4 linked regions of the Astyanax mexicanus genome follow. The protein of the gene in region 2 interacts with the protein of the main gene of each other region in a pairwise test. Links are inferred from orthologs where the notes say so. Each region holds a gene or a part of one and is shown on either strand. Other genes may lie near its edges. The genes, in order: leng8, snrpa, rbm42 and trir.

Region 1 (6,977 bases), on a different chromosome or scaffold from region 2:
GGTCATGTTGGTGAACCACTTTGGTGATGATCATGCTGGCTGAACAACTGATGTTTTTTTTTTTTTTACTATAGTACAGTATGTTTTAGGGTCAGTCTTCCAACATTAAAGTCATATTATTACCATCTTAAATTATAACGTAGCATCTCAGAATATTGATCTCAAAATAATGACTCGATATCTTAAAATAATGACTTAGCATCTTACAATAATGAGAAGGTATCTCAAAATAATGACTTAGTACATTAAAATATTGGCTCAGCATCTCACAATGATGGGATATGATCTCAAAATGGTTTATTAGTTTTATTTATTACTATAGTACAGTGTGTTAGGGCCATTGTTTCAGCCAATACATATAGTTATTATTTCAGATTTTGACTTAGTATCTCAAAATAATTACTTTGTATATGAAATAATTAGACAGTATCCCAAATAATGACTTACCATCTCAAATGTTGACTTAGTATACCAAAATAACGACTTAGCATTTTACAATAATGGCTTAGAACATCAAAATAATGACATGGAACATCAACATAATGACTTACTATCACATTATTTTGATATACTATCTTATAATAATGTGATATCCCAAAATAATGACTTAGCATCTCAAAATATTGACTTGGTATATTAAAATAATGACTTAGCATATCCAAATGATGGCATAGTATCTCAAAATAATGAGATAGCATCTCAAAATAATGCCTTAGCATCTTAAAATAATGACTTGGTATATCAAAATAATGACTCAGCATCTCGCAATGATGAGATTTTTCTCAGAATTGGTTATTAGGTGTACCTAGTATAGCTTAATATGTTTTAGGGTCATTGATCCTACGTTAAAATCATATTACTTAAAGAATAGTTGTAATATTTTGAGAAAATCAACTATCTAGCCTAAGTTAAATAATGTAAAGAGCTCCAGCAGCCTGTGTGTGTGTGTGTGACCCGCTATTTCGTAACGTGGTCAGATGAGCACCGCAAAATTTAGCCACAAGCAAAAACCCACAACAACAAATTCCAGAAAAATCTAACGAGTTAACAGGCTTCAGTACAGACTTTACCCATCTGTAAACTAACAGCTTTAGATAATATATAATATAAGTTAGATAATACTGATTCTCTGCAGCCCAGCTCAAACCCCAGCCCGTGCTGCAGGTCGATCAGCTGATCTAAAAAACAACAGCAAAAACCCAGCGTTACCTTTCCTTTACTCAGCGGAGCGGATTCAGAGATACCGGATCAGAACCCTGCGCTGGATCACAGCCTGCCCGCGGCGGTACCGATACTACCCGCTAAACAATCAGCCCGATCCCCGCAGATCTCGCTATAGATCCCTTTAGCTCTATTTTTAAAATGTCGCCTGCTCCACTTCTACCCAAACAATAATACACCACCCCACGCCCCGCCCTATTCGCAACGCTCAGACCAATCACAGTCCAGCGCTGCGTTTCTACCCAATCGGATACGGGCGGAGGCGGGGATTGGGTTTGTTTACAATGATTCGATTCGTCAGTCACGCTGTCGATCAGCTGTTGCTCGCTCTTATTGGACCAATGAGAAGAGGGGAGAATAGGGCCAGGATCCTGAGATACGTGCCTGACGTGTCTTTTTTGGGCAGGAATGCTGGAAGCCGTGCTGTTCCTTTCTGCAGGAACAGCTCAAAAGAACACCAGCACACAGCAGCACTTCCTTATAGAAGCACTTATCACACACTAATATATATTTTTATATTTATACTATGAAGGTGTTTTTGTTTCTGCCAAAAAATGTTATTTTTTTTCAGTGAAGCCTTTACATAGCTTCTGTAAAACCATTACCTCAAAATAACGACCTAATATCTAAAATAACGACTTAATATCTCAAAATAACGACTCACGATCTAAAAAAAAACGTAGCATCTTAAAATAACTAGGTAGAATTTTAAAATAACAACTTAGTATCTCAAAATAAGAACTTACTATGTCAGAATATTGACATAGCATCTCAGATTAAAGAGTGTGTATCTCAAAATGAGATAGCATCTCAAAGAACAATGTATTTCATTATAATGAGATATCTTAAAATAATGGGCTTCCATACTTCCTTATATTTATAATGGGGTGAAAAAGTATTTTCCCCCTACAGATTAGATGCCTTGGAGTTCTCCCATGGAGAACATTTTCGACCAGTCTTTTTTTACAATAGCCTTTACTGAGGCATGTGCGACTTGCAGTTCTTTAAATGTTGTTCTGGGTTTTTGGACCTCCTGGATGAGTTGTCCATGACCTTTTAGAATAGTTTTGGTCGGCCGGTCACTCCTGGGAAGGTTCACCAGTGTTCCATGTTTTCTCCATTTGTGAATATTAGCTCTCACATGCGGTTCGCTGGAGTCCGAAAGCCTTTGAAATGACTTTGTAACCTTTTCCAGACTGATAGATGATCAAAGACTTTTTGTTTTCTCATCTGTTTTTTAATTTCTTTAGATTGGGGTATAATGTGTTGCTTTTTAAGATCTTTTATCTGCTCTATGTTGTCAGACAAGTTCTATTTAAGGATTTCTTGATTACTTGATTGATTCAACTACAATCAGATTCACTCTTGATGGATCTTGATAAAGAGATTTACCTGAATAGGGTTTTTTAAAATGATGAAAACAAGCTGAAATGAAATAGGAGTAACAAGGCTATTTTTAGAGAGGCAGTTTTTTAGTAGAAAGCACAGAAGTAGAAGTAAGTAAAGTAGTCTGTTAAATAATTACTCTATTTAGTACAGATAACATTTCTACTGAAAGAATATGGAGGTATTTTGCCTTATAGTGTATTATGTTATTTTCAATTAAATTAATAATCAGTATATAATCTTAATCATTTTTATCAGAATCAATATATAATCTAGTATGACCATGATCTCTGTTTTATTTTCTTTGTGTGATTCATGTGCTGTGTATACTTTGGAAAATAGGCTTCAAAGCCTTTTTCAGGGAATCAGTATAGTTTTAACCTTAAAACAGGCTGATCTAAGGCTCTGACTCTGTGTGTTGAGGAATTTGACTGCCTGGTGGAAGAAGCTGTGTCAGAGGCTGGGATGCTCTGGTATCTTCTGCTCGTTTAGTCATTTGGACTGTGGTAAATTTGGTAGCGCGACTAAAGGAGTGGGTTCTATACAAATAGCCAATTTTAGACCTAACCTTAGTCTGTAACTTGTTAATGTGTGTTGGGAATGACAAGGTACTTTCTAACCAGATACCCAGGTACTTATATTCTGTGACCTGATTTATTTTATCACCTTCTACAGTAGTAATATCCTGGTAGGGCTGGGTACAAAACCCTTCTTGTAAAAACACAATACCTTTGTCTTAGCGGTGTTTATTTGAGGATTTAAAGTGAAAAAAGCTTGTTGAGGCCTAAGAAAATTATTTTAAAGTAAGTTAGATCTGTCTGCCTCTGGAGACGGACCAGTTGCATAAAGGACTGTGTTATCAGCATAAAAATAAATAAATTAATCTTAAACACAGAGAGCAAGTTTATTTATGTATATGGAGAACAATGTGGGCCTAGGATTGAGCCCTGAGGGACACATTTTTTTAACTGAAAGTGTCTCTGAAACAAAGGCTATGTTCACACTGCAAGCTACATTGCTCAAAAAAGCTTTATAAAGGGAAATGGATGTGTTAGCAGCTCAGTTTTTACAGTTTTTGTGTGCATGTGAGACATTTCAAGAACAGATTGGTTCACATAACACACAGATACAGGTCAGTCATGAAAAAATCTGATTCACATACAACCTATCAAGAAAGAATAATAATAATAATAATAATAATAATAATAATAATAATAATAATAATAATAATAATAATAATAATAATAATAATAATAATAATAATATATACATCTAAATACATTTTTAGATTTAAATAACTAAAAATAAACATTTTCTCCACCAATTAGAGGAGAGGACGCGTTTACGTCACTGAAGTCTCAAGCCAGGAGCCATTTTGTGTTGGGTGTTGACGCGCTGGATGCGGTTAGTTTATGTTATGGTTTAAACCGTATTGTTTAGAGACAGCAGTGCTCTGGGCTACAGTGTATTGTTTTATTTAGCTACGTAATCGCCATATTCTCCTAGATTGGGCGCTTCTAGATTGTAGAGAGCGGAGGAGTTTCTGCGTTGGAGTGAAATCCAGTTTAGCTAGTGAGCTAATTAGCTTAGCTTAGCGTAGCTTAGCTGTGATAGCGGGCGCTGACGGCGCCTCAAAATGGCGACAAACGCGGCGAAGCAGGCCTCGACTCCCGGCTGGTAAGATACTAATATTCCATAATTTACCTCAATAAACCTCCACAGAATGAGATATAGATATTCAGAAACTGTATCTGAATTGGGAATTCGTAAGCTGTCTTATTTGTTATGATTTAAGGTAACTAGGTTAGCTATCCTACGTTAGTTACTGTAGTGAACAGTTCTTAGTGTTTATGTGTAATGTTAAATACATCCTAACCTACTAACTGGTAAGTTAACTGGTTAAGCTTGAACCTGAAGCTGTTAACCTAGCTAACCTATCTATAAAGTTAGTTATCAGAATAAGAGAGCTAGCGTTAGCTATAGATTAGTAACGTTAATCGTTGTATTTGTATCCTAACCTACCTAACCCTCATTTAGCTAAGCTAAAGCTAGCTATAATTTATTTAAACGCAAACTAGGGTGGGCGATATGGCTCTAAAGTAATATCACGATATTTCAGGGTACGTTTGCGATAGCGATATATTCTTGGTTATGTGACAAAACACTGAATTTTTAACAAACAACTCCAGAAACACAGTAACTTACTGCAACAAAATGAACATTACATTCTATTTAGTGCAATTAACGTTACTGCATACTGTGTGATATGATGTGGCACACCCCTAATTGAGACTTTTAGCAGATTGTAACAAATAAGACGTCATGTCATGATATTAATGGACTAAATACATATTTATGAAGTAAAATCAATGATGCTGGACAGATATAATCTAATAGTAAAGGTTTCATTGGAAATGAGAGCAGTGTGATTTTTTTCTTTTTGCTACAAACAGCAAAAAGTTGTACCCTCATGTCCATTAAATATAATTATAATTAATTTGTGATGATGAAGATATTCACAGATGACAAAAAACATGATATGGCACAGGCCTAGAACAAAAAAAAAATTGGGCTTTATTTCTGATAGGGGAAAAATTGGCTGATTATTTGAGGAAGACAAAATGGTAATATAAGTTACTATTTGTCATTTAAAAATGCTTTGAATCTAAAACAATACCACTAATAATACAGTGACCGCTGACTTCAAATTTACATAAAATGTGAGGATTACAATATTTTGAAATTTTTTCTCTTCAGGAAAACTTTTGATTGTTTGATATTGGGGTGTGCCATATCATATCGTGCACAATAATATTGCCAAAATTTTTAATATTGTGCACAATTTACTCTGAAATATCGCACCGTATCAATTGCAGTTTGTTGCAGTAGTGTATTCTTGATTTTATTTATTTATTTATTTTTTAGTTCTGTGTTTTGTCATATCGGCAAGAGTATCATTATCACGAAAATACCATGAAATATTATAATATTATTTTAAAGACATGTCGCCCACCTTTAGTTTGATGTTATATTTGCTTTCAACAGTAACAGTTTGTATTGTATTCTAGCTAGCTAGCTACAGCAGTTAAGCTACACTGTTAAAATGTAGGTTTGTACATTTTGTTATTCCTAGTCTGTGTGAGCTGAAATGTTAAATATATAAAAGGCTTTTCATAGAAAAAACATACTTGCAACTTCTAAATTAAGGTTTCACTGTTCATAAACGTAACTACTGTGGTTTATCTCTGTTTTCCAGGTCATATGGAAACACTTCCGGCAGTGACGCTCCGGTACACGAAAACCCAGAGTGGGAGAAAGCCAGACAGGCTCTGGCCTCCATTAGCAAAAGCCAGAACTCTACCAAGACCTCACCAACCAACCGCACCACTGCACAGGTTAGAATAGTAGGGCTGCACAATATTTAATTCATAACTTCTCTGCAATACTTGCATGGCAGCGGTGAACCTATGATCACAAAGGTATTTAATGCAGGAAGAGACTCGGCCATTGCATGTTAAATACGCTGGTCATTGAGTAAATAAAATAAAATTTTTCTGTTGGTCAATTTAGATTTTAGTCTATTTTTTTTTCTGCAGTGTCCTTTATCTTTGCTTCATGTGTGTAGGTCTTCTGTTCCTAGCCTTTTCTATCTTTGCTTAAAAGCAATAGAAACAACTGAACATGGTAATTAAGGTCCCTTTAATGACCAGAATAAGTTTTAAATTTGAAAAGTTCAGATATTTAGGAAGTAATTATGTCATTTGTTGTCGTTGGGCACTTTTGGTGACCAAGCTCAGAGTAAACTCAATACCCTTTGTGTAGTTTGGTGCAGTTCCAAATGAATGATTAGTCGACATTGAAATTTGGTGTCAACATAATTTTAGAATCAGCATTGATTGTCGACTAATCGTTGCAGCCCTACTCTGAAATTTTTCTGCGGGAAGCCATGTCCCAGTGTTTAGAGAAGAGTGTGGCACAGTAAAGTTAATAACACTGGTGAGGTATCCTTGAGCCACAGTAGATCACATGTGCCTGAAATTTAAACTGTAAGAGACAACCAGCTTTTAGGTAAACAAACCAATGCCATGGGTAAGTTAGCTTAGCTAATATTAATGTCCTAGCCCTGTACAACATTTTTTTTAGGAAAATGTGGGAAACATGATGGAAATGGTTTCCTCTGTAAGTACATTGTTTTATGCTAAACCCAACTCTGTAATGTTTGTTTTTGCTGTACGAATGATGTTTTAATTCTATGTTTAGGCTGGACAGTACCAGACTTCAGTGACTGACTCTTCTGCAATGCAACAACAACAACAACAGCAGCAGCAGCAGCAACAACAGTACTATCAGTGGTATCAACAGAACCAACA
Region 2 (7,894 bases):
TGTCATTTAGAGCTATGGGTTCATTACCTGGGTTTGACAAGCTGACACTCAAGAGTTGTGGGTTTAATATCTGGGTTCAAGGGTAATATCAAGAGTTTAACCAATCAATGACAGTCACATGTGTTTATAATGCATGACATCACAAAGCATCATGTTTAAGTTAAGTTATTAATGTGAGCCCTGCATTAGCAGCGTTAGCTGCTTTAGAACATGGAAAATCAGCCAAACACACAACATTAGCGAATGAAAATATGGCTGACTGCAGAACAGCCTGACCGCACATAAAAAGAATCTCACACCTGTCAATGACCTATACCTGAATGTTGCCAGTGTGTGTGTTCACCGCATGCATGGGTTAAAGGCAGAGGTCAGATCACCATACCTGAGAACATCTCCCCCTGGGCAGTGTAGCCTTTCTCCAGTGCTGTTTGAATGACTTTCTCCACAGATATTGCATCTGTAGGCCTTAGCAGATGGGTTGCCATCCATAACGCCACTAAACCACATCTAAAAAAAATCACAAATATGGTTGTCATTTAACTTACAAGCATAAAAATTACCACTACTGTAATGAATTCTGTCTCTCTTGATTCTCCATAACAGAGCACTTTAATACATCACTTTAAACCAGAAGTAATTGGTCAATGAAAGAAAACTGCTTGTTTTATATATTCATTCTATATGTGACTGTAATTACATATATCAGATTTACAAAAGAATACTATTTTTTACTCACTTAGGGCCATCCTGAATCAATGACGGCACATATTTGTTGCACAGCACCCAGTCAAGATCCTTTCTGAAACTTCAGGAAGAAAATATAGTATGACTTATCACAACCATATGTATATTTATGCCAATAAATATACCATTTAACAGTAAAATATAGATAGAGTCTACCCCAGTAATGCACAAAAAACATGATTTTATCACATATTATCACAAACCATCCAAACCATCACTGATTGTGGAAACTTCACACTAGACCTCAAGCAGCTTGGACCCTTAAATTCCAAATCAAATGCAAAATTTACTGATAGTCAGGGATGGTTTGGAGAGTCATGTCATCTGCTGGTGTTATATCATATATGTGATCCACTGTGTTATATCAACTCAAAAGTCAGTGCAGTGTTTCTAGAAAATCTTACAGCACTTTATGTTTCTCTCTGCTGACAATTTTAATGAAGATGCAGATTTCATTTTCCAGCAGGACTTGGCACACCTCCCACACTGCCAAAAGTACCAATCGATCTTATATAATATTCTAATTTTCGGAAACAATAAATTTTGGGTTTTATTGGCTGTAAGCCATAATTATCAACAATAAAATAAATAAACACTTAAAATAGATCACTCAGTGTGTTATACATCTATATAATATATGAGTTTCACATTTTGAAATGAATTACTGAAATAAAGTAACTTTTCAATTACATTTTTTGAGATGCACTAGTACACTTTTTCTACACTTCTTCGTAATTTAGTCTTATGTACGGAACTGTTCTGGGTTTTGGGTCTTATACCTGCCCTCTCTCTGGGCGAGCAGTAACCGGGCCTCCTCAAAGTCTCCCTCCACAGGGGCCTTCCTCTCAGCTATAGCCTGGTACAGCTTCTTCTTACTGGACACAGGGGGAGCCAGAACAGAGGCTGGTGGAGGTGGAAGAGGTGGAGGTGGAAGATCCCCTGACATGGCCTCTTACCGGCTGAACTAATAAGTGAGAAAAGAAAAGATCTTTCACAGACACAAGTCACAATATATACTCATTAAAAAAAATAAACACCCTTGATTGCACCCTGGAAAACTCAGCATACAGTTCTGTCTCAGGCAGTAGAGGGTGTAAAAGTGCTTCTCCTGCTTCTCTATAAAAACCCAGAGTATCTTTTCAAGGAAGTCATTTGTGGATTTTATAATTAATAAATTAGTTTTCAATAATTTTTTTTTTATTGAGTTTGAACATTCACAATTAACACACGCTTAAAAGAAGAGCCATATCTGTGCTGACTGCCATATCTGAGCAGCTGTGATTGGCTGGCCGGTATTAGAGGTGAGCCGAAAGTGTGAAAAGCGTGTTTTGATTGGCTCAGTTCATCAAGAGTCAACAGTAGAGGAGTAGAGAAGGAGTAGCAAAAGTTTCTGGACTTTTGAAAAGTGTATCTCATGGTAAGAGACTGCTAGATGTGCCTCTGTGACGCACTTTATTGTAAGCCTGTTGGGAGTATCGACTAAAATCCATGTATTTGGGAATGCTGGGGGAGAATGGAGGTGAGCTATTCTACAAAAGCTTGTTCTTGTAAAACATGTTTGTACGAAGCCCCTAAGGTGACACAATGTTAAAAAAAAAATGCATGGCCACGACTTATAAGGCGTGGGAACGAGATAATAAAGTCATAGCCAAACAATAATAAAGCTTGCTTTTCTGTAAATTAATGCCCATGAAGAAACTGATATGTATAATATAATATTACATCAAAGCTCCAATCCAAGAATAATCTGTTGTAAGAAAATAGAGAATTAACTGTTTTTTTTTTCATCTTGGAATGAAGTATGGTGATATTTTGGAGTCTCTTGCAGTGAGACATGAAATAATTCTAATAAAAGCAACTTAATTTCCATACTAAAAGTTCACAGGCTCAGATGGAGACAGTCATATTGCGAACAGCCCCTAAGAGCTGCTTGCTTTGTTAGGTGTAAAAAAAAGAACTTTTGGCCACGCTTAATGGCGAATTAAAAAACTCGTTCCAATGCCTTCCGACTTTTGGCCAAGCATTATTAACCTTGAATAAGTCGTGGCCACGCATTAATAGTTTTTTAACATGTCACCATAGGCTCTCTGTATGTTTTACCACAACCCAATTAAATTTAACACCGGATTTCTCCTCTAATACAGAATGTCACTGTTTTTTTCAACACCACAATTACTGCAGCTTAAATCTAACACTCACTACTGTACAGACCTGATTCAGAACTCAGCCTGCAGTCTGAACACACACACACCTCTTCCTAATAAGGATATATGTCCAAGTACTCGCAGCCTGCGGACACATTTACAGCTAAACCCGATCTAACTGCTTTAAACTACAGGTCTGTTTCGCGTTACTTGAGTATACTGTAAATTAAAGCCTCAATTATCCTAAAATCGAGTCAAAATGAACCAAATTCAACTACTTACAGTACAAACACAGACCGGTGCTACATTCCAGCGACACACAGCCTAGTCCCACCAATCAGATCACAGAACCTGAAAAAGCGGCCTTCATTAGCCAATCAGAATCAAAGTCGGCAGTGAGATTAACGTCCAATCGCAGAGCTAGATGTTAGAGAGGCGGGGCTTCTTGAGAATCTGACAGAGCAAGTTTATGGAGAGACTGCGCACTTAAAAAAAAAATTACACTCAGTCGCTAGAGGGAGCCCGCAAGGGAGTCCCTGAATTAATGTGGGTGAATGGAGCTAAACGGCAAAATGTCAACTAAAGTAAAGTTAAAAAAAATCTGTCGAAGAGATTTCTTAAAAAAAGCAAACAAGTTTTAACTATGTTTTTCAGGTTTTTCTACAGTAAACGGGGTTAAGGCAAGAAAAGGCGCGAGCATTTCTGCTACTGAAAGATGTCTGGTTGATGCTAAAATTGACCAAAAGATTTATAACTGGAGTTTTAAAAGCTTTAATAGTTATGGCTGTGGTGCTGAAACATTGTTGTTAGCTAATATTGTTCTGTGTTGAAAAAAATACGTTCATTTTTTAAACATGAAAATTATTAAACATTTATAAACTCTGATTCTGCTCAGTTGTTCCATTATAAACCCCTTTATTTTCGACTCAGTCAGGAGCACCCTCTCTATTATCTGATTAACCCAGAATTAGTTTAAAAGCTTTATAATTATAGTTTGAAAGTTTTAATAGGTATGGCTGTGTTGCTGAAACATCTCCCTAATGTTGTTCTGTGTTGAAAAAATAAGCAACATTTCTTTTAATATAAAATGATTAAGCATTTATAAACTCTTCATAAACTCTGATTTTGCTCCGTTGCTCCATATAAATCTATTAATTTTGGACTCTCTCTTTCTAGTGTCTGATGAACCCAGATGAGATTCGTTAGAGGGTATTCTCCTCTCTAAAGAGTATCTGCTGGGCACACCAATCAGATCACAGAACTTGTAACAGTAGTCTTCAATAGCCAATGAGAATAAAAGTTGGCATTACAACCTGGAGATTAATGTCCAATCGCAGAGCTAGATGCATGAAAGGCGGGACTTCTTGAGAGGCGCGAGTAATCACCACAGCAAGTTTATAAAAAGACTGCCCATTTACTTTCAACTTCCCCCGTTATATTAGAAAATTACACTCAACCGCTAGAAGAGGGAGCCCGCGAATGAATCTTCAAAGAATAGAGGTATATGGAGATAACCGGCTTAAAACTCAAATAAAACATAGTTAGAAAAACAACCTGTCCAGGATATTTCTTTAATTTGGTAGTAAAATAAACTAATTTACTAAAAGAGCAAAGAAAACTTACCTGCTTTATAGGTTCAAGGCGCTAGCGTTACAGCTACTGAGAGCTGACTGGGTGGTGAGCTAATGCTGGAGACAGAACATGTTTAAAATGTTTATAACTGGAGTTTAAAAGCTTTAATAATTATGCGTGTGATGCTGAAACATGTAGTACATTTTGGACCCGCTTGGGAGCACCCTCTCTACTGTCAGATGATCCCAGGTGAGATTTATAAGTGAGTATTCTCCTTTCTAAAGCTTCTCTGCTGGGCACACCAATCAGATCAAAGAACTTGTAAAAGTAGTCTTCAATAGCCAATGAGAATCAAAGTCAGCGGTACTACCTAACCAATCGAAGACTTTATCTGAAGATAAACGTCCAATCGCAGAGCTTGATGTTTAGAGAGGCGGGACTTCCTGAGAGGGTTACGTTCTGTTCCCGTGCGGCGTGTTGGTGGTTGGCTAACAGCCTTGTTACTATAAGCCTTATTTGTTGGTTTCTGACCGCTGTGAGTATACTTTTATCATTATTTTATTTATCTGTATGTGGAGTAATATATGGTCGTTTTTTCTGTAGGCAAAGTTTTATGAAATTAATTAATAGAGCTTTAAACACAGGCAGCTTGGTTAGGCTTAGTGGTTTTCTTTATTTCGCTTCAAGTTGCCCGGTTAGGTTGGGCCTTGTCCTAAATTGCCTCCTACGAGTGGTCTAGTGCACTAGTTGGGGTACATTGGGGACGATATAGTATAGCACATTGTGTACTAACGCATTTGTACTGGAGGGCGTTTGTGGTTATTTGGGATTGAGCCTCAGCTGGTTTGAACAAGCGCCGCTATTAGCTTGTTAGCGTCTCGACTAGCTAGCCGACGTTAGATAGAAAGGATAGCGAACCTATAGTGCACCCGTTTTCATTGTTTTGTCATGTTTTACAGGTTTAATTGAAGAAGCTGTCATTTTAATATATTTTATGTATATTTTAATTGAAGAACTTGCTTATTTCTCTAGCTAGTTTGTCATATTGCTCCACAGTTAGCCTCGTAGCTAGATAATAGTTATCTAGCTACGAGTTAGCCTCGTAGCTAAGCTATCCATACCCTCCATACACATGTTCGATTCTGGTTCATCCTGTTTACATTTTTGTACAGCTTAGTTGTAGTTAGAGAACAGTAAACATATATGTTTAAATATGGTAGGCTAATAGCTCTGGGTTATTTATCCACTTAGCTAGGTTAACTAACTTACACTTAGCTAGCTAGTCCGCTAATCACATTGCTCCACAGTGGAGCATAGCTAGTTAGTTAATCTAGCCTTCTGCGAAACTTAGTAACTTATGTGTTCTCTTTGAATTAGTTATTTGGTAGTATTTAAGTGGTTTAACATATTATTATTTAAAATATTTTTGTTTCATTCCTTAGAGAGATGGCTGGCCAGGAGCTCCGTCTGAATCACACCATTTACATCAACAACTTGAATGAGAAAATCAAGAAAGATGGTAGGTTTACCTGTGTGAAAGATACATTTGAATCTGCCCTTATCTTTAGCGTTGTTCTGCCGAAAGAAGTTAACTTAAGGCCGTTTTCACACCTGTAGTTGGTTTCTATGGTCCGGATCAGTTGATGAGTTTATTTGGGGCGTTTCTCCCTCTGTTTGGTTTGGTTTCACACAGGCACAAACTTACACACCAAAATGCACACCAATAAACAACACAAGCTCAGTACCTCCTCTGAATGGTCAGAGCTGTCTGGCATGGGAGCAAGAAAGTTAATATAGAGTGAAGATTCTGTGTTCCAGCATGTATATCTGTGCAGTGTGAAGCTGCTTTAACAACTAAGCTCTATCGCTGTGCTTTTTAACAGTGTTATTAATAGGATGTGCAGTGCAGCTGTAAGTAGTGAGTGCAGCACATACGAAACAGCGTGTAAACAGCATGAATCAGCAGAAACAGTGTTCATAGCTGTGGTAATTACTTTTATCTGGCTAGTATATCAGATTAAACTGCACCTTTTAAGTAGTTTAGGTCAAATAAAAGGAGTATATTCAATATCTGGGTCAGATCAAGACTGGATCATGTTCTTAACACAAGCAAACCGCTCCAGAGTTTAACCACCTCCTTTAGTAGAGTAATATCAGTCCGGTTGTTGTGATCTGCACCCGAGTACAATAACCGTTTTAACTGGACCAAAAAGTGCTGGTGTGAAAACGCCCTAAGTAAATTCAGGACCAGCTTTTGTTGGTAGGTTTCAAATGGCCAGTGTGAGTCAGTCTGGTGAACCAGCATGAATGAATAAATGAAGTTACACTTTTAGTGCGTTTCTATACACCAAGGATGCTTTACACAATTATTTACACTCAGCACAGTGTGTGGGGTTAGGCTGGTCTTTCTGTTCCGTAAGCATTTTGTTCTGGAAAATATGCTGATAATTATGCTTGGTCATTCTGGTTGACTAGTTTAGGATATATTTATAATATTTGTAGACCAGCTAAATTGATCAACCAGATTAACCGTATTGGGACAATTTAACTGGTTCCTTTGCAAGCTAGGTGGTTTTTGTTAATACTGTTAAGTCTATGAACTAACAATCTTTTTGTCTCCACAGAATTAAAGAAATCCCTTTATGCCATTTTCTCCCAGTTTGGGCAAATCCTGGACATCCTTGTGTCCCGCACTCTGAAGATGAGGGGTCAGGCTTTCGTCATTTTCAAAGAGGTCAACAGTGCCTCCAACGCTCTGAGATCTATGCAGGGTTTCCCATTTTATGATAAACCCATGGTATGTGTTGGCTAGTTTAATGGCATTGGCTACTGTTGTTTACGATTGTAAATAAATGTGTGAAACTTGATAAATATTCTGTTTTTCTTCTTTAGCGCATTCAGTATGCCAAGCAAGACTCTGACATTATCGCGAAGATGAAGGGAACGTATGTGGAGCGGGATCGTAAGAAGGAGAAGAGGAAGCCTAAAAGTACTGAAGCCGGTGCATCAAAGAAGGGTGTGCCAGCTGCTGCCCCTGGCATGGCTGGAGTTCCTGCTGCTATGCCGGTGAGTTTATAGTAATATCTGATATTTTTAGCAAGATGTTTAATTTGTAAAACATGAGTTGCAAGTATGGAGACTTTTGAATATTTCAATGGTAACTAAATGTATTGCTTTATTTTGCAGGGAATGCCTCCTATGAGTCAGGCTCCTCGTATGATGCCAATGCCAGGCCAGCCTCCTTACATGCCTCCTCCTGGTATGATGCCACCACCTGGTATGGGTCCTGGACAGATGCCCCCAGGTGCTATGCCTCCTGGTCAGATGATGCCAGGGCAAATGCCTGGCCAGATGCCTCAGCAGGTATGAAATAACACATCAGGGACTACATGCAGACTAGTTCAATGCATAGAAACTTAATTTACACTAAATAT
Region 3 (7,415 bases), on a different chromosome or scaffold from region 2:
AATCTCTAATTTCTAACTAGAGAAAGCAATATTGATGTACATATAATATAAAAATAAATAATAAAAATAAATAAAAATAAATAATAATAATAGAAATAAAAATCAGAATTAAAAATTATGTTGTTGGTGGGATATGTTCTTAATAGCTCACAACTTATGGTACAAACATAACCTACTTGTATTTCAGTATTATAGTTAAGGAAATGTGTAAAAATGTGCATAAGAGTTCTCTACAGGTTTCTGAAAGAATCCAACAAAATTCAACTATTAAAATTCACACACTCACAAAAACCAGGGGCGTTTTAGGCTGTGTGTACAGTCACATGCTGTGTTGATTATATTGATGTCTAATTCAAAACTTCTGAATATTTTAATACATTAAATTTAGGCTATAAAATTTGGTTCATATTCCGAACTCACTTTCCGACTGTAATCCATCGTGTCCACATCCACTTTGCTAGGTGGCAGTGTTGTAAAAACATAGGGTCCTATCGCTAGGTGGCAGTGAAAACATAGGGTCCTAGAACTGTTGTGCATTATTGGTGGTGCTGCCACCTACTGGCTGGCTAGGGGACCTAAAATAGTGTGACTGAGTTCTGTTCTTCACCATAGACCACTACGGCTTCCATGTCTAAGCGTTTTTTCCCTATGGGCTTTTCAAAAACACGTCTCTGTCACATTCTGTGGTAAATAAATCTGTTCAGAACCCTGTATGTTTTATTCTGTGTATATTTTACTCCTGAACTTCTCTGGATCCTCTGAATTATGAGATCATTTATTGCTAACTTTAAGCTAATGCTACAGTGGAGTGAACTGACCTCCCAGCACCGCTGCAGAGATTAGCAGGGGACTGTTTTCAGCGCAACACCAGAGAACTCCGGCCGTAAGTTAGGAGCATTTTACACACAGCTGGCCCAACTAATGAACTAACTGCCCTTACTGAGAAGAGCTGAGAGCATCACAGCATAAAATCACTAAAACAGGTCAGTGATACTCCAGAACCAGTTGTAACACGTTTTAACATTTACCTTCTTTATTATGCAGTGAAATAAATTGGTGTTTCTGGTTGGTTGTTGCCTCAGTGAGGGCAGGTAGTTAGTTGATTGGTTGATTAGTTAGTTGTTTATTTGGGTCTGGTGTTGTAATTAGTATAAACTAATGACAGCAATTTAATACTAAAGCCTTCGGGGAAGCGTTGCTGGACTGAGAACCATTCTCTCTTATTATCTACCTTTTAAAGCTTTAACACAGACTACACTGCTCAACATCACACTGCTTAACATAACTGAAAGAGTTTTCACCTGTTTAAATGCTTTAATGATCCTCTGTGAAGAAGCATAATAATCAAAAACTTGATCTGACCAGAGTTCGCTGTTATGCAGAATCCAGTCCGGGGACATTTCCAGCCGCTGTGCTGTGACGTCAGTTAAGCATTAGCTTACAGTTAGCATTTTTCTAAATAAATGTACACAGAATAAAACGTACAGGGTTCTGAACATATTTATTTGCCAGAGAATGGGACAGAGGCCAGTTTTTGAAAAGCACATTGAAAGTCGCCGTTTACTTGGACGGCTTAGACCCGGAAACCCAAATATGGGCATAAACAACATGGCGCCAACTACAAAATGACGACACGACTTCAGTGGTATATTCATTCATTAGTAATTGTATGCATCATCTGAATGGGTTTTAGGTGCTATCTGCTACATAAACAAGATGAAGTTGCTAACCTTTATTTATAATATAGGACTGATACCACATTTTTCCTCCATTTTCTTATTAGTTTGCTGTCTCTGCCTTTAAATGAATTTAGTTTAAACCAAAGAAATAAAGTGATTGGTAGTGATCCATATGGGCTTTAGACCCAGGGTTGCCCTAGCATTACCCAATATCTTTATCTAGTGCCTTCAATATGGTGTGAGCACACTTTTAAACTTGGTTTGTAGGTGACAGGTTGTTCTTTTAGATCAGGGTTCTCAACCCCTTTTTAGTATATAAATTAGTGTGAGTGTATTTTTGATTTATTGTAATATTGTATTGATTTATTTTTTTTTCAAATATTGATTTCTGAACTCTTAAAATTGTATGAATATGAACTTCGATCTGAAAGCTCTGCATCTTTTTTGTTGTTGTTGTTGTTGTTGTTATTTCAGCCATTTCCCATTTTCTGCAAACAAATTCTCTAAATGACAATAGTTTTATTTGGAATTTGGGAGAAATGTTGTCCGTAGAATAAAACAACAATGTTCATTTGACTCAAAAATATACCTATAAACAGCAAAATCAGAGAAACTGAAGTGGTCTCTTACTTTTTTCCAGAGCTGTAACGTTATATACACCAGTTTATATGAGGTTTAAAGACACAGGACTAAAGTCATCTTAAGAAATAACGTTACAGAACGACTGAGAAATGGCTGTTACTTAATTAACTTGGTCAAATAACGTTAATCATGAAAAACAGACTTAGAAGTTTGTTAGCTTCAACAACTTAAATTAGTCAGTTAGCTAAATAGTTAGCTAACGCTAGCTAACTAGCTAAATAAATAAATAGCCCGTATGAACGCAGAGTGGATTATACGGAATATTAAATGCGTTTTCTGTCAGACTGAGTCTGTTACTGCAAATTTACCGAGTCTAATCCTGAGTTTTAGACCTTCTCTCTGTGTTCAGTAGGTTACAGACCCTGTAGCTACTCTGCAGCCGCGCTAACGAGTTAGCACAGCTCAGTTAGCCTAGATTAGCTCAGTTAGCTCAGTTATCTCGGGATAATAAGTAACTAACAGCGTTAGAAAGCCTGAAACACAGCAAGGAAATCTGTAGAGCTTGTAATCAGTTAAAACTGGACTCTTTACCTCTAAAACTCCTCGCAGGGTAAAATAATCCAGGTAATAACCCCCAGCTGAAGCTAGCTAGGCCGGCTAACTGCTGGGTACTGAGTCTCCTCTTCCTCTCTGTGTGTTTGGTCGGTTAGTAAACCCGTTAATGTAGTTATATGGTGCAGTGCTGCCTCTCACTGGACCGGAGCCGGATTATACACCAAACACGCGATAGAGGGAGCCTACATAGGAGTCCTAAATGAATGGGGTGAATGGAGCTAAATGGCTAAAAACTCAAAATTATCTATTCAAATGTATTTTAACTCCGGGGTAATCATAATTTTTCAATGCAGCCAAGCATGAAAAAGTTTACCAGCCAATAAACCCTCAAAAGTATATAGCTGCAGCCCCAGAGACTGCAGTTTTAGGACCCCGCAGTTTCAGGACCGCAGTTCTAGGACCCTATGTTTTCGCGACAATGCCACTTACCAAAATAAACGACTTACTACACCTTAAATAATATCACACCTTTAGCTACGTACATATTTAAAGGCTTATTACACTTTTTAATGTTTATTTTACCCAAATATATGATAGCTAGGGACTTTATTTATCCCTAATGAATTTTTAGGAATTTACTAAATTTCCTTCGGGATCAATGAAGTATCTATCTATGTATCTATATTACTTTGTCTTAGAACTCCCAACCACAAATATCGGAGACACAAGGAAGATTGGGGCTATATGTATTTGATATCTGAAATGGATTCAAACTACAAAAGATATATTTTTGGAACTTCAAACTACTCTAGTGTCTATTAGAGCTGGGCAATATTTAAAAAAAAATCCTCAATATTCTTCAAATATATGAGCAACTCTCAATTATGTTCAAGATTTTCAGTTTTTTTATGAATAGTAAGCAGCCCCCGTGAAACTTACATGCAGCTGTTATATTGAAGATGGTACAAACATAACCTAATTGTTACATGCATCTTGAACAGCAGACAGGATAATCAGTAAAATTGAAATTTTTCATAAAATTACTATTACAAATAACAACACGTATTGTTCAAGCTTATTAACTTAACTTTATGGTACAACATTATTTAATAAATAAGTATTTAACACCCAATACAGTAGGCTAACGTTACATTGATTTAATGTACTGAAACGTAGTGAACATATGATACAGACATTCTTTGTCATCTTTTATATATAACTAAAAATATAACTAACAGGCTATTAGATGTTTTGAAGCAAGCTAGAAGTTAACACGTAATGTTAGCTGCTTGTAATGCTTTTTAGGCTAGTGTTACGTATACAGTCACAATCTGTGTAGATTACATTGATGTCTAATTCAAAACATCTGAATATTTTAATACATTTAATTTAGGCGGTAACTTGATTCACATTCCGACTGTAATCCATCGTGTCCTGTCCACGACCATTTTTTTAGGTGGCTGTCTAGCGAACACACAGGGTCCTAGAACTGCGGTCCTAAAACTGCAGTCTCCGAGGCTGCAGCTATACACTTCATTTTTTATGATTAAATCACAACATACCAACGTGTAAAAGGTATATCAACAAATATTAAAGTGTTCTTTTAGTTTTTTTTTTTTTTCACTATGGAATACATTTATTTTCAATTCAGCCAAGCATTGACAACTTAACCCTTTAATGCGCAACATATACACACCCCCTCTAAGGCACAACATGGGTCAAAAATCCCCTGCATATATTTCCCAGCTTTTTTAATATTTCATGGAGTTTCTTTTTAAACCAATTTATTTTATGATAGAAAATTCCAAGTGTCATTTAAATATGTTGCTTCTTACTAACACTGATCATTATTAAAAATATATATATATTATTACTTGAGGAACAACATTTTTTTAATTACTATTTAAAATGCACACACATGGCTCAACAATGACCCATTCATCCGAAAGTGTGATATATTAGTAACGTGCAAAGTAAGATGGCATTTTTTTCTCTGCTAAACAAATTGCTTATCTTAAAATTAAAGACGATTTAAAATATATTTTACAGGATTTTTGATTTTTTTTCAGGTAATTTAATAAATGTTGAACTTATATGTTTAAACATATTGAAAGTTAACTGTTCAGGTTAATTTGTATGGTGTTTAAATTTGTTTGCTTATTTTGCTGCTGAGGCGGCATGGTGGTGTACTGGCCGTTCTATGTGGAGTCTGCATGTACATGAGTGGGTTTCCTCCGGGTACTCTGGGTTGCTCCCACAGCCCAAACACTTCTGCTTCTGCTGCTTTTACTTAATTTTACATGCTATTGCTCTTTAAGTACTAAATTTGATTACTTTTTATTTTGCATGATTTGCAGTTTTCCATAGTTTGCAGTTCTTAATTCAATTGCATGTTCAGATTTCAGAATTTACTTATTTATTTCTATTTTATTACTTTATTTTGTTTTCTGTTTTGGGTGCACATAATTGCTGTTTATTTTATTTTTTTAGAATACACCTAATTAAAGATGCAACGGGTTCGTTTTGATTTATAATACAATAGTAATTTCTGTGACAAAGAGCCAAGAGTTGGCCCAAAGACTATCTTCAGCTCCTCCATATATATATGCATGCAACGCTTGTTTAGCCAGTCAGAGCGCGAGTCTGGGGATGCTGAGACTGAGGGGCCACAGTTGGGGGCTTGCTTACAAAACGGGGTAGAGACGACTTCTTTTGAGGAACAGTGGAGATAGTGGACGGTGGACAGCTTAGCAAAGTTTTATTTCATAAAGTGTAGATTGTAAGTATTACTTTCCAAGTTGAAGGTGTACTTTTAAGAATATACATGCTATGTTAACTGATTAGCTTTTTGTATAGCTCTGTATAGCTTCTAGCTGTTTCTGATCTGCCTATTATTATTACCAGATAATACCTCAAAGAAGTGTGTATCTTTGTTCAGATGTTAGTGTTGCAAATTTTAGTCAGTGATGTGTTTCAAGTAGTAAGTATTACTTTTATATCTGTTGTTTCAGAATCACACACTCACACAATCGAATTGCATTCATCTATTCTGTATATAACATACTTAATCTGCTCCAATAAATACTTTTTTCGGAGTACATCATATCCAGCATTTTAACCAGATGCAACACAGTGGCTTCAGCTAGCTCTTCTTAACAAATTTCATTCATAATATAATAGGAATTTAATGTAAATACTGCCATGCCTGCTTTTGTCTGGACGGTAGCTGTCAATACCATAGAGCAGTGGTTCCCAACCTATGGGTCGCGACCCAACCTATGGGTCGCCAAAAATCCACGATGGGTCGCGAAGCCCTCTTGATTTTAAGGGGTTTAATTTTAATACTATATATAGTCTAGGGTAAGCAAAATTCGCCGCGCTGCGCTGCGCTCTCTCTGTCTCTCTCTCTCTCTCTGGCGCGCGCGCGGGCGCTCTCTCCGGCAGCGCGGAGCTGAATTCAGCGCGAGGCTGAATATAATAATATAATAATATAAGAATATAAAACTCAATTTAGTTAAATAAATGAAAATGAGTGAGGGCCTGTAAAGTTAATCAATTATTGTCCAATATTTGGACAGGTTGAGGTTTTGGTGAGCTGTTTTACTGATTTGAAACTGATATTATTCTTTTTTTTGTTTGTTTGTTTTTATTTTATATAAATTATTTTTTATTCATTTTAAATAGTTGTATTATTTTATTGATCTAATTATTTTTTTCTTCATAAGATAAAAATTCCTTATGTTTTATGTATCAATTTTTCCTTTTGTACCCCAACCCAATTATATACTTACATCTTTTACATTTTGGGGGGGGGGGGGGGGGGGGGGGGGGGTATGTTGGGTCACCAAAGCTTACAATGGTAAAAATATGGGTCCCTGAAGAAAAAGGTTGGGAACCACTGCCATAGAGCACCGTTGTAACCTGCAGCTGTAGATGGCGCCATAGATTTAATTTTGTTTTATGTCGCCATAGATATGACGGAGAGGGCGGAGTTTGTGTAGTCGCAGTTAAATGACAGCGTCGCGCATAATATTAACCTTTTTTAAGGAACACGCGGTTAGAGGTAAGCGTGGCAGCAATTGCATTTTTCATTTTGCTGTATCATTACAGCTCAGGAATTTAGAAAATAATAGATATTTTAAAGCAACAAACTGTTTTTCTACTTTTTAAAATGGCACAAAAATAAAAAGATATTGTTTTTGGACAGACTTTTTTATTACATAAAGATGTACTTTTATTACAAAGTTTTTTAACATTGCTACAACTATTTTCTTACTCTATGCACAATCTCTCCACGTCTGCTGGTGTTTATATTTCCACATACTTGTTCCAAGTCTATGTGATTGCTGGATTCATATGGTCAGATCAAAAAATAGGATATACATTACAGTACTACATTTGTGAATATAATGGCAATAGACCTATTTAACATTATACTTTTAATATGTACATTACCTATCAAAGAGTAGAATCATGTGAAAGCAATTAAATATGTGTAGAGCAGAGAAAGATTTTAGAGTAGAAATTTTAGAGGGTGTTTTAAAGTAACTTAAAAGAAAATATTAGTAAACAAAACTAAACTGATGTGTTTCAGACTAC
Region 4 (6,884 bases), on a different chromosome or scaffold from region 2:
ACTGTGAGGAACATAATGAGGAAATGGAAGACTACAGGTACAGTTCTAGCTAAAATCTCAGATAAGCAGAGGAGAAGGATTGTGAGAACAGTCATAGTCAACCCACAGAGCAGCTCCAAAGACCTACAACATCATCTTACTGCATGTGGAGACACTGTGCATCGTTCAGCTATTAAGTGCACTTTACACAAGGAGAGGCTGTATGGGAGAGAAATGTAGAAGAAGCCTTTTCTGTGCACACGCCACAAACAGAGTTGCTTGAGGTATGCTAAAGCACATTTGGACAAGCCAGCATCTTTTTGGAATAAGGTGTTGTGGACTGATGAAACTAAAATTAAGTTATTTGGAGGACGGAATGCATGATGGAAAAAGAACACAGCATTCCAACACAAAAACACTTTCTACCCACAGTAAAATTTGGTGGTGGTTTCATCATGCTGTGTAGCTGTGTGGTTAGTGCAGGTATTGGGAATCTTGTTAAAGTTGAGGGTCTCATGGATTCCAGTCAATATCAGCAGATTCTTGAGAACAAAAAATACCTTTAACCAAAAGCCAGGCTCTCATTCGAAGCTATAGGACGTGTTTAGACTCTAAACACTTCCTATAGCTTCGAATGAGAGCCTGGCTTTTGCAGAAATAACAGCCTCTAAACTTTAGAGGCTGGTATTTCTGCAAAAGGAGGATCTACTAAATATTGGTGTAATTTTTATTTTGCGATGCTCACATTTATGCACCTGCCTGATTTTGTTTGAAGAATTATTGCACACTTTCTGTAAATCCTATAAACTTCATTTCACTTTTCAAAGATTTTTTAAAGAGTAAACACTGTTACTGCAGAAAAGGTGGGTCAAACAGGCGTTCTGTCCAGTTATGCTACCCATCAGTATGAACTTCTTACCAGGCACTGCACATGTGCTGACCCACAGTTTTAATGAGTGAACTATGTGCTGATAGTTCTGATCTTCGCACGTACATTTAACAATCTTAACTCACTTCCAAAACTGAAAATGGCAATTAATAATGATAATAAAAAATGAAAAATAGTAAACCAGCAAAAATACAAAAATACTTTCTAATAAGCTCTCTTTTTCTAGCTTTACCCTGACAAAGTTATTTACACTAATATACCAAACCTCTTAACTGGACTTCTGCAGGGATCATGTTCTAATATGGTGCTTTTTTGTATTTCTACCCATAAATATGACGCTATACGAGTAGCTCAGTCAGAACTCTGGCTGGACGAGGAGGAGGATAATTAATAATAGTACAATTATTTTAAAATGCATCTATAAAAGAGGCATTTGCTGTCAGGCAAACATTGCTGACATAACATGAAGACCCTATTATTTATTAACAACTATGAAGCTTAATTAAAGTGTATTATGTGTTTTAAAGTGTGCTAATGTGTATTCATGAGTATTTAAGTGTATGAACGTGTATTAAACTTACAGGTGGGTAACCCAGGTCCAGAGAGTAAAAATCCATCCCAGGGTTTTGTACCAACTGCCTGGGCAGCTTTGCTCTAGCTGAGATATGCACAGAGCCGCCCTGACAATTAGTACAAAACCCTGGGATGGACTTGTACTTTCTGGACCTGGGTTCCTCACCTCTAAAGCTGCAGAAGGTGATGTTTAGTGAGGAGGTGGTCAGACCTGTGTCCTGTGCTCCGGCTCTGGGGGAGTTCTCCATGCTGCAGTGAGGAGGAGCTGAATCAGTGAGTACACGGGGACAGCAGTGTGTGATACAGATGATACAGGAGATTCAGGAGGTGAGCGGATCCCGGGCTGGGGAAAACCTGCAGCTTCTCTCTCATAATAACCCGCAGATCACAACAGCCCAGCGCAGTAAACACAGCCAGCTTCCGGGCGGGTCACGTGACTGGTTTATAGCGAGCCTGCCCGCTCTCCGCGCTGCATCAGTAACTTGTTGCCGCCGCTAGAGGGAGCCCGCGAGGGAGTCTTCAATGAACACAAACATATATTAATGTATGAAAATAAAATTTTAAAGCTCCAGGTTGTATATACAATTTCCCAGATATAATGTGTTTAATATGCGCTCATTTTTCTGTCTAGTACCCTGTTGGAGCCTCTAGTCTGGATACAAGAGGAGTATGAGATGGTTGGGCATAGAGGTGTACAGGTTGTGTATGGTATCCTGCAGCACATTTACACACAGATGTTGCAGTTGGGCCTGTAGATCCTGCTGAAGCTGCGTCCAGCAGCTCCCATAAATGCTGGATTGGTGATACAGTGGTATGAAAAGGTTTGGGCACACCTGATAATTTTCATGATTTTTCTTCATAAATCATATATTTGGGCACCCTTGTCATTTCATTGATTTGAATACATTTTATGCACTGAAACTGTGTTGATCTCCAACATCAGAATTGATTTATTAGGAGGAGATACGTTCTGTCATTACTTTTCCACCGCGCTCCGCAAAACCAGCAAGCTGATTGGCGGTTTCTCCTGAGAGAAAAATTATTTGGGCCTTTCATTTGGCGCCCCCTGTAGTGCAGCGCCCCTATGCGCATTGGCTGCATAACCCCTTTTAAGTTGTATGTCTGGCTGCATTTTGGCTCCAGTGGAAACAATAAATGGTAACAGAGTGACCAAAAAGACACAAACCATATATAAATACTGTAAGTAAATCCTACACATGACTGTTTCATAGGCAGTTGTACTAATCCCTTAGCTCTGTACTGTATTAAAAAAAATGTTCTGTCTCTGTTAATTACAAGAGATTTAGGAGAAAAAACACAAAGCATAGACTTAATATGACTGGTTTTGGTTTGCACTTATTGTTTGCACTATATAAGATCTAGAAAAGTTTTATTTTTATTTTTTTATTCTTATTCTTATTTTTATTTCTTATAAAATCAATGTGTGAGAGAAACCAGTCTGTTAAGTTTGCATTATATGATTTTGTCAAATAAAACTCTAGTTTTCAAGCCATTTTTCATTTTTGAAAATCTCGTCTCGTTCTTGTGAACCCAGTATCGTGTCTCGTCTCGTGATATTAGTGTCTCGTCACACCCCTATTAAATAATATTTTATATTATATAATAAATATAATTAATCTGTTATTTTGCAGAGTAAACACTTGTGGGGAGAAAAATTGCTCATTTTCTGAAAATTTTATTTAATTACCAGCATACTGAACTGTGATAATTTTAAAGGCATTTCTAAAAGCTGATATTCACATTTAACCAGAAAATCAAGGCCTTTAACCCTTTCAAATATTTTATTAGGTATAAGATACCAAAAGAGTTGTAGGTTATTTAACGTATACAATCTCTCAACCATTTAACCCTGAATATCCATCCCAACAACACATTAGAAATATACAGCTTATATATATATATAATTATATATATATAAAATACATTTATAATGAATCTTGTTTCTCCAAGAAAGTTAAATATAATGGAGTTAGCTAATGTAATCAGAGAGACATAAACAGGAAGTGACGCAGATAAACAAACACGTTTAAGTGTGTATTCTCCTCTATAAAGACTCTCTGGCCGCGTCACCCTCCTATCTCCCGTTATAACCGCCAGAGGGAGCCCTCGAGTGAGTCGGCTAAATATAAATATAAAAATATATATATATATTTTTTATTATTATTTTTTTTTATTTTAATCTATCAATTAACTACATCCGGCTACAATCCGTATGTCGTATCTTAACTACTAACAACGAACCTAACTCACTCATACAGAGTTACATACTGATATTACCATGTTGCCATGGTAACGCGGTTGTCACCAGTACAGGCAGTTGTTTTTATAATTTATGATTATAGATATGAACGGCCTTAACTGCATGATTTATTGGGTAACATACCAGTGTACTGTAATATTGGTAATATTTCATTAGCGTTATTATTTAATATGTACATATTGTGTTGTTAAAAGTAACGTTATTTCAACACCCTGTGGAGAAAGCCATTGTTTTTACCGAGCTCCGAACAGGCAGTAATATATAATGGTTTTCATTGGTTTAGTTAACGTTACTGTTTACACCCGCTGCTCAGGAGTAATGAGTTATAACACTTAAAGACGTTATAACTAGCCTACGTTGCCTAATCCGCCCCCAGTTCTGAAGTTACAACCACGGGTTATAAAAGGGTTATAAGTGAAGTTTAAACGTTTTAAATAATATAACGTTTTATATATATGCTAAAATATGCTGTTCTGTGACGAGGAAAGTATGACTTTTTCAGTATGAAAATGATTTTATAATGAGTTTATAAAGTCTGAATTTACGCTCCATATGAACCCGTTAACTTTTGGTATCACTCAGCAGCGCCCCCTGGTGACGGTCAGGACTAAGGTGTAGTTGTAGTAGCGCTCCGTCAGGCCCGCAGGGGGCAGCACTCATATCAGCAGCAGCTGCGCCGCATTCCGCCTTTGTTCCTTCTGATGCAGAAGAAAGTGTAGAAAGTAAAGATGGCGGCGGAACGGGAGCGGAGTGTTTTCGGGGGATTTTGATAGAAACTGCGGCGTTTCAGGAGCTTTAACAGCCCGAGCAGGCCAAGCCGCGGGGTTAGGTAGCGGAGGGAAGGCCCGCAGGGTGATTGCGGTGCGGGTTTAATCCGGTTCATATCTTTAAACCCGGAATAAACACTACTCCCCCCTCCAGCGCTGCAGCGGGGCCTGCTCCCTCTCCCCGCCGCGCGGAGCTTTGGGCGGATCCGGGCTGATAAAGCGGCCCCCGGGCTGAAGCCTCTCCGGCTGCGGGTCACAGAAAGACTCGGTTCTTAAAGAATCAAATCCTAGAAACCTCCGCTCAACATGGAGGCCAAGCGGAGCCGCGCCAAGACCCAGCCGCCCAGCAGCGGCAGCAGCGACTCCAGTGGCGGGCCCGCGTCCCCCGCCAGTCCCGCAGCGCCTCCCGCCGCTGCCGGTAACGCGTTTGCCAACGACGGGAGCTTCATGGAGCTGTTCAAGAAGAAGATGGAAGAGGAGGAGAGGAGGAAGAGGGAGCTGCAGGAGGAGGAGGAGAGCAAGAGCGAGCAGATCAGTGCGGTCGCGGGACAGTCCTCTCTCAGCAAGAAGACGCTAAACCCGGCGGCCAGCTTTGTAAGGGGTTTAGCAGTTGCTCTAGCCGGTTAAAGACGGCCGCGCTAAATTAACCCTAGCTAAACACTGTACACTAATACTGTACATTACTGCATACTGAAACATTGCTGTCTTAAAAACACGAGAAACGAGCTTTATACATCTAAAATGTGCAGAACAGTAGAAACAGCAGCCACACACAGCTCTTTACTTCACCCAGTGCTCAGTGTGTGGGAATGGGCTTGTTATATGAGTCCAGCCCATCGTGATGGTTGAAGGTGACCATTGGGGGTTTGTCTCTGTTGATATGCTATTGGAGATGTATCTAGTTGTTAGTGTATTAGCAGGGCGGTTATGGTGGTGCTGTTTGTTTGTTGGGTGGTCTCATGTCTCGCTGTTGGGACGGGTGAAGCATACTGTAGATGCTGTCCTAAGTGAATGGCAGGCCTCCCCCCAAAAACGGCCCCTATAACGGTTTCAGTCTTCTCCCCTAACCCAGGTGGGCAAGCGGAGAGGCGGCGCCAAGTTGGCCCTCAAGACTGGCATGGTCGCCAAGAAGCAGAAACTGGATTCGGAGGTGGGTCAGATTTTCACTCACTTCCTTTTCATGCCATATTTGTGTCAGTTTAGAACTGTGAGATGATGCTTCCCCAAAAGGAATGCTGAGCAGCATAATCAGCAGGGACATTGCCAAACGGTGGTGGGATTGGAGGATAATCTCTGACCTGTCCAGTCCCTTTGGCACTGTCTAGAAAAGATACCGTCTTGGAGGGCTTTAGTCCATCATAGTGAGTAGAAAAGTGGATTCTTATAGGATTACCCCTATATCTTTGCCCCCCCTTAGATGGCGAAACTGTATTCTCTACTCCAGCTCTGGTTCAGTATGGTATACCAGTTCTGTCTGATGGGAGCTGGAGTAGAGCATTAGAGTGGGCATGACTTCCCTTCCTTATGTAGTAATGACTGATGTGTTCTTCATTAGTAGTGAAGTTCCTTTGCGTGTTTGGTTTACAGGCTGAGGCGGGTAAAGGAGACGCCTGGTCTAAGTACATGGCCGAAGTGAAAAAATACAAAGCTCACCAGTGTGGAGATGACGACAAAACCAGACCGCTGGTCAAATAGACTCAAAGGAGCAGCCGCCAGACCCTCTCTCTCTCCAGACTGCCAGGCCACCGAACACGCAGCCGATGAAAAGCCTCACTGCTTAATTTTTGTTTGGTTTAGTTTTATTTTTCTTCCCCTCGAACGTTTTGTTTATAGGTTCCTAATTTTAGTATGTATGCGGTCTGTGCCAGCTGCAGTGATGTATGGTGATTCAGATGCTTTTTAAAGGTGTCATTTGAGCCTTATTATGATAATTATTGTTATTATTACAGAACGTAAGAATATTTGTGGTGTTTGTTGTATTTGCACTGACATCACACCATGCTATTTTGTACCTCGGCTCCCCTTCCACTTTCCGTATCACCTGAATTAAAGGGTAAAATATCAAACCACTGCGGGCTGAATAGAGTGATTGTGCCATTATACCATTCATAGCACTTTAATCAATGCTTCAGTCACACACAATCTTGGGGAGAACTTTGTTTTAAGGTAAGCTCCTTTAGGCGTAAAATATGAAACCAGTGTAAAATTAAATATTTTTATATAAAATATATTCCCATTCACACAAAGACAAACACTTTCCTGAGCACCCTATCCTTGTGTTTGTAGTACATTATTAGAAGAGACACATAAACAAAAAAGTCACAATTCTCCTTAAGTAATGTACTGTTGTCCTGAAATGATGTCTTGAAAACCTGAAAGGTGCTTTATGTCCATC

The links.
Region 1: the proteins of snrpa (region 2) and leng8 interact in binary tests that used the Homo sapiens proteins (3 or more experiments, as listed by UniProt). The two-hybrid records come from large-scale screens. The link is inferred for Astyanax mexicanus from reciprocal best matches to the Homo sapiens genes SNRPA and LENG8.
Region 3: the proteins of snrpa (region 2) and rbm42 interact in a two-hybrid assay, tested with the Homo sapiens proteins (2 studies listed by BioGRID and IntAct). The link is inferred for Astyanax mexicanus from reciprocal best matches to the Homo sapiens genes SNRPA and RBM42.
Region 4: the proteins of snrpa (region 2) and trir interact in binary tests that used the Homo sapiens proteins (3 or more experiments, as listed by UniProt). The link is inferred for Astyanax mexicanus from reciprocal best matches to the Homo sapiens genes SNRPA and TRIR.

Annotation. Positions count from the first base shown.
Region 1 is NC_064413.1:6,576,856-6,583,832, reverse strand, and holds the start of leng8 (leukocyte receptor cluster member 8 homolog), read left to right. Parts: upstream 1-3,960; 5' UTR 3,961-4,243; coding exon 4,244-4,284; intron 4,285-5,863; coding exon 5,864-6,002; intron 6,003-6,867; coding exon 6,868-6,977.
Region 2 is NC_064416.1:32,625,482-32,633,375, reverse strand, and holds the start of snrpa (U1 small nuclear ribonucleoprotein A), read left to right. Parts: upstream 1-4,879; 5' UTR 4,880-4,995; intron 4,996-5,902; 5' UTR 5,903-5,906; coding exon 5,907-5,979; intron 5,980-7,084; coding exon 7,085-7,257; intron 7,258-7,352; coding exon 7,353-7,526; intron 7,527-7,646; coding exon 7,647-7,823; intron 7,824-7,894. Other genes in the region: c9h19orf54 (UPF0692 protein C19orf54 homolog), read right to left, coding at 383-507, 737-805, 1,524-1,690. UniProt on the Homo sapiens protein: Component of the spliceosomal U1 snRNP, which is essential for recognition of the pre-mRNA 5' splice-site and the subsequent assembly of the spliceosome. U1 snRNP is the first snRNP to interact with pre-mRNA.
Region 3 is NC_064408.1:113,944,204-113,951,618, forward strand, and holds the start of rbm42 (RNA-binding protein 42), read right to left. Parts: upstream 3,008-7,415; 5' UTR 2,853-3,007; intron 1-2,852. UniProt on the Homo sapiens protein: Binds (via the RRM domain) to the 3'-untranslated region (UTR) of CDKN1A mRNA.
Region 4 is NC_064410.1:18,318,815-18,325,698, reverse strand, and holds trir (telomerase RNA component interacting RNase), read left to right. Parts: upstream 1-3,870; 5' UTR 3,871-4,795; coding exon 4,796-5,083; intron 5,084-5,561; coding exon 5,562-5,639; intron 5,640-6,076; coding exon 6,077-6,184; 3' UTR 6,185-6,558; downstream 6,559-6,884. Other genes in the region: mcoln1b (mucolipin-1b), read right to left, coding at 1,653-1,689. UniProt on the Homo sapiens protein: Exoribonuclease that is part of the telomerase RNA 3' end processing complex and which has the ability to cleave all four unpaired RNA nucleotides from the 5' end or 3' end with higher efficiency for purine bases.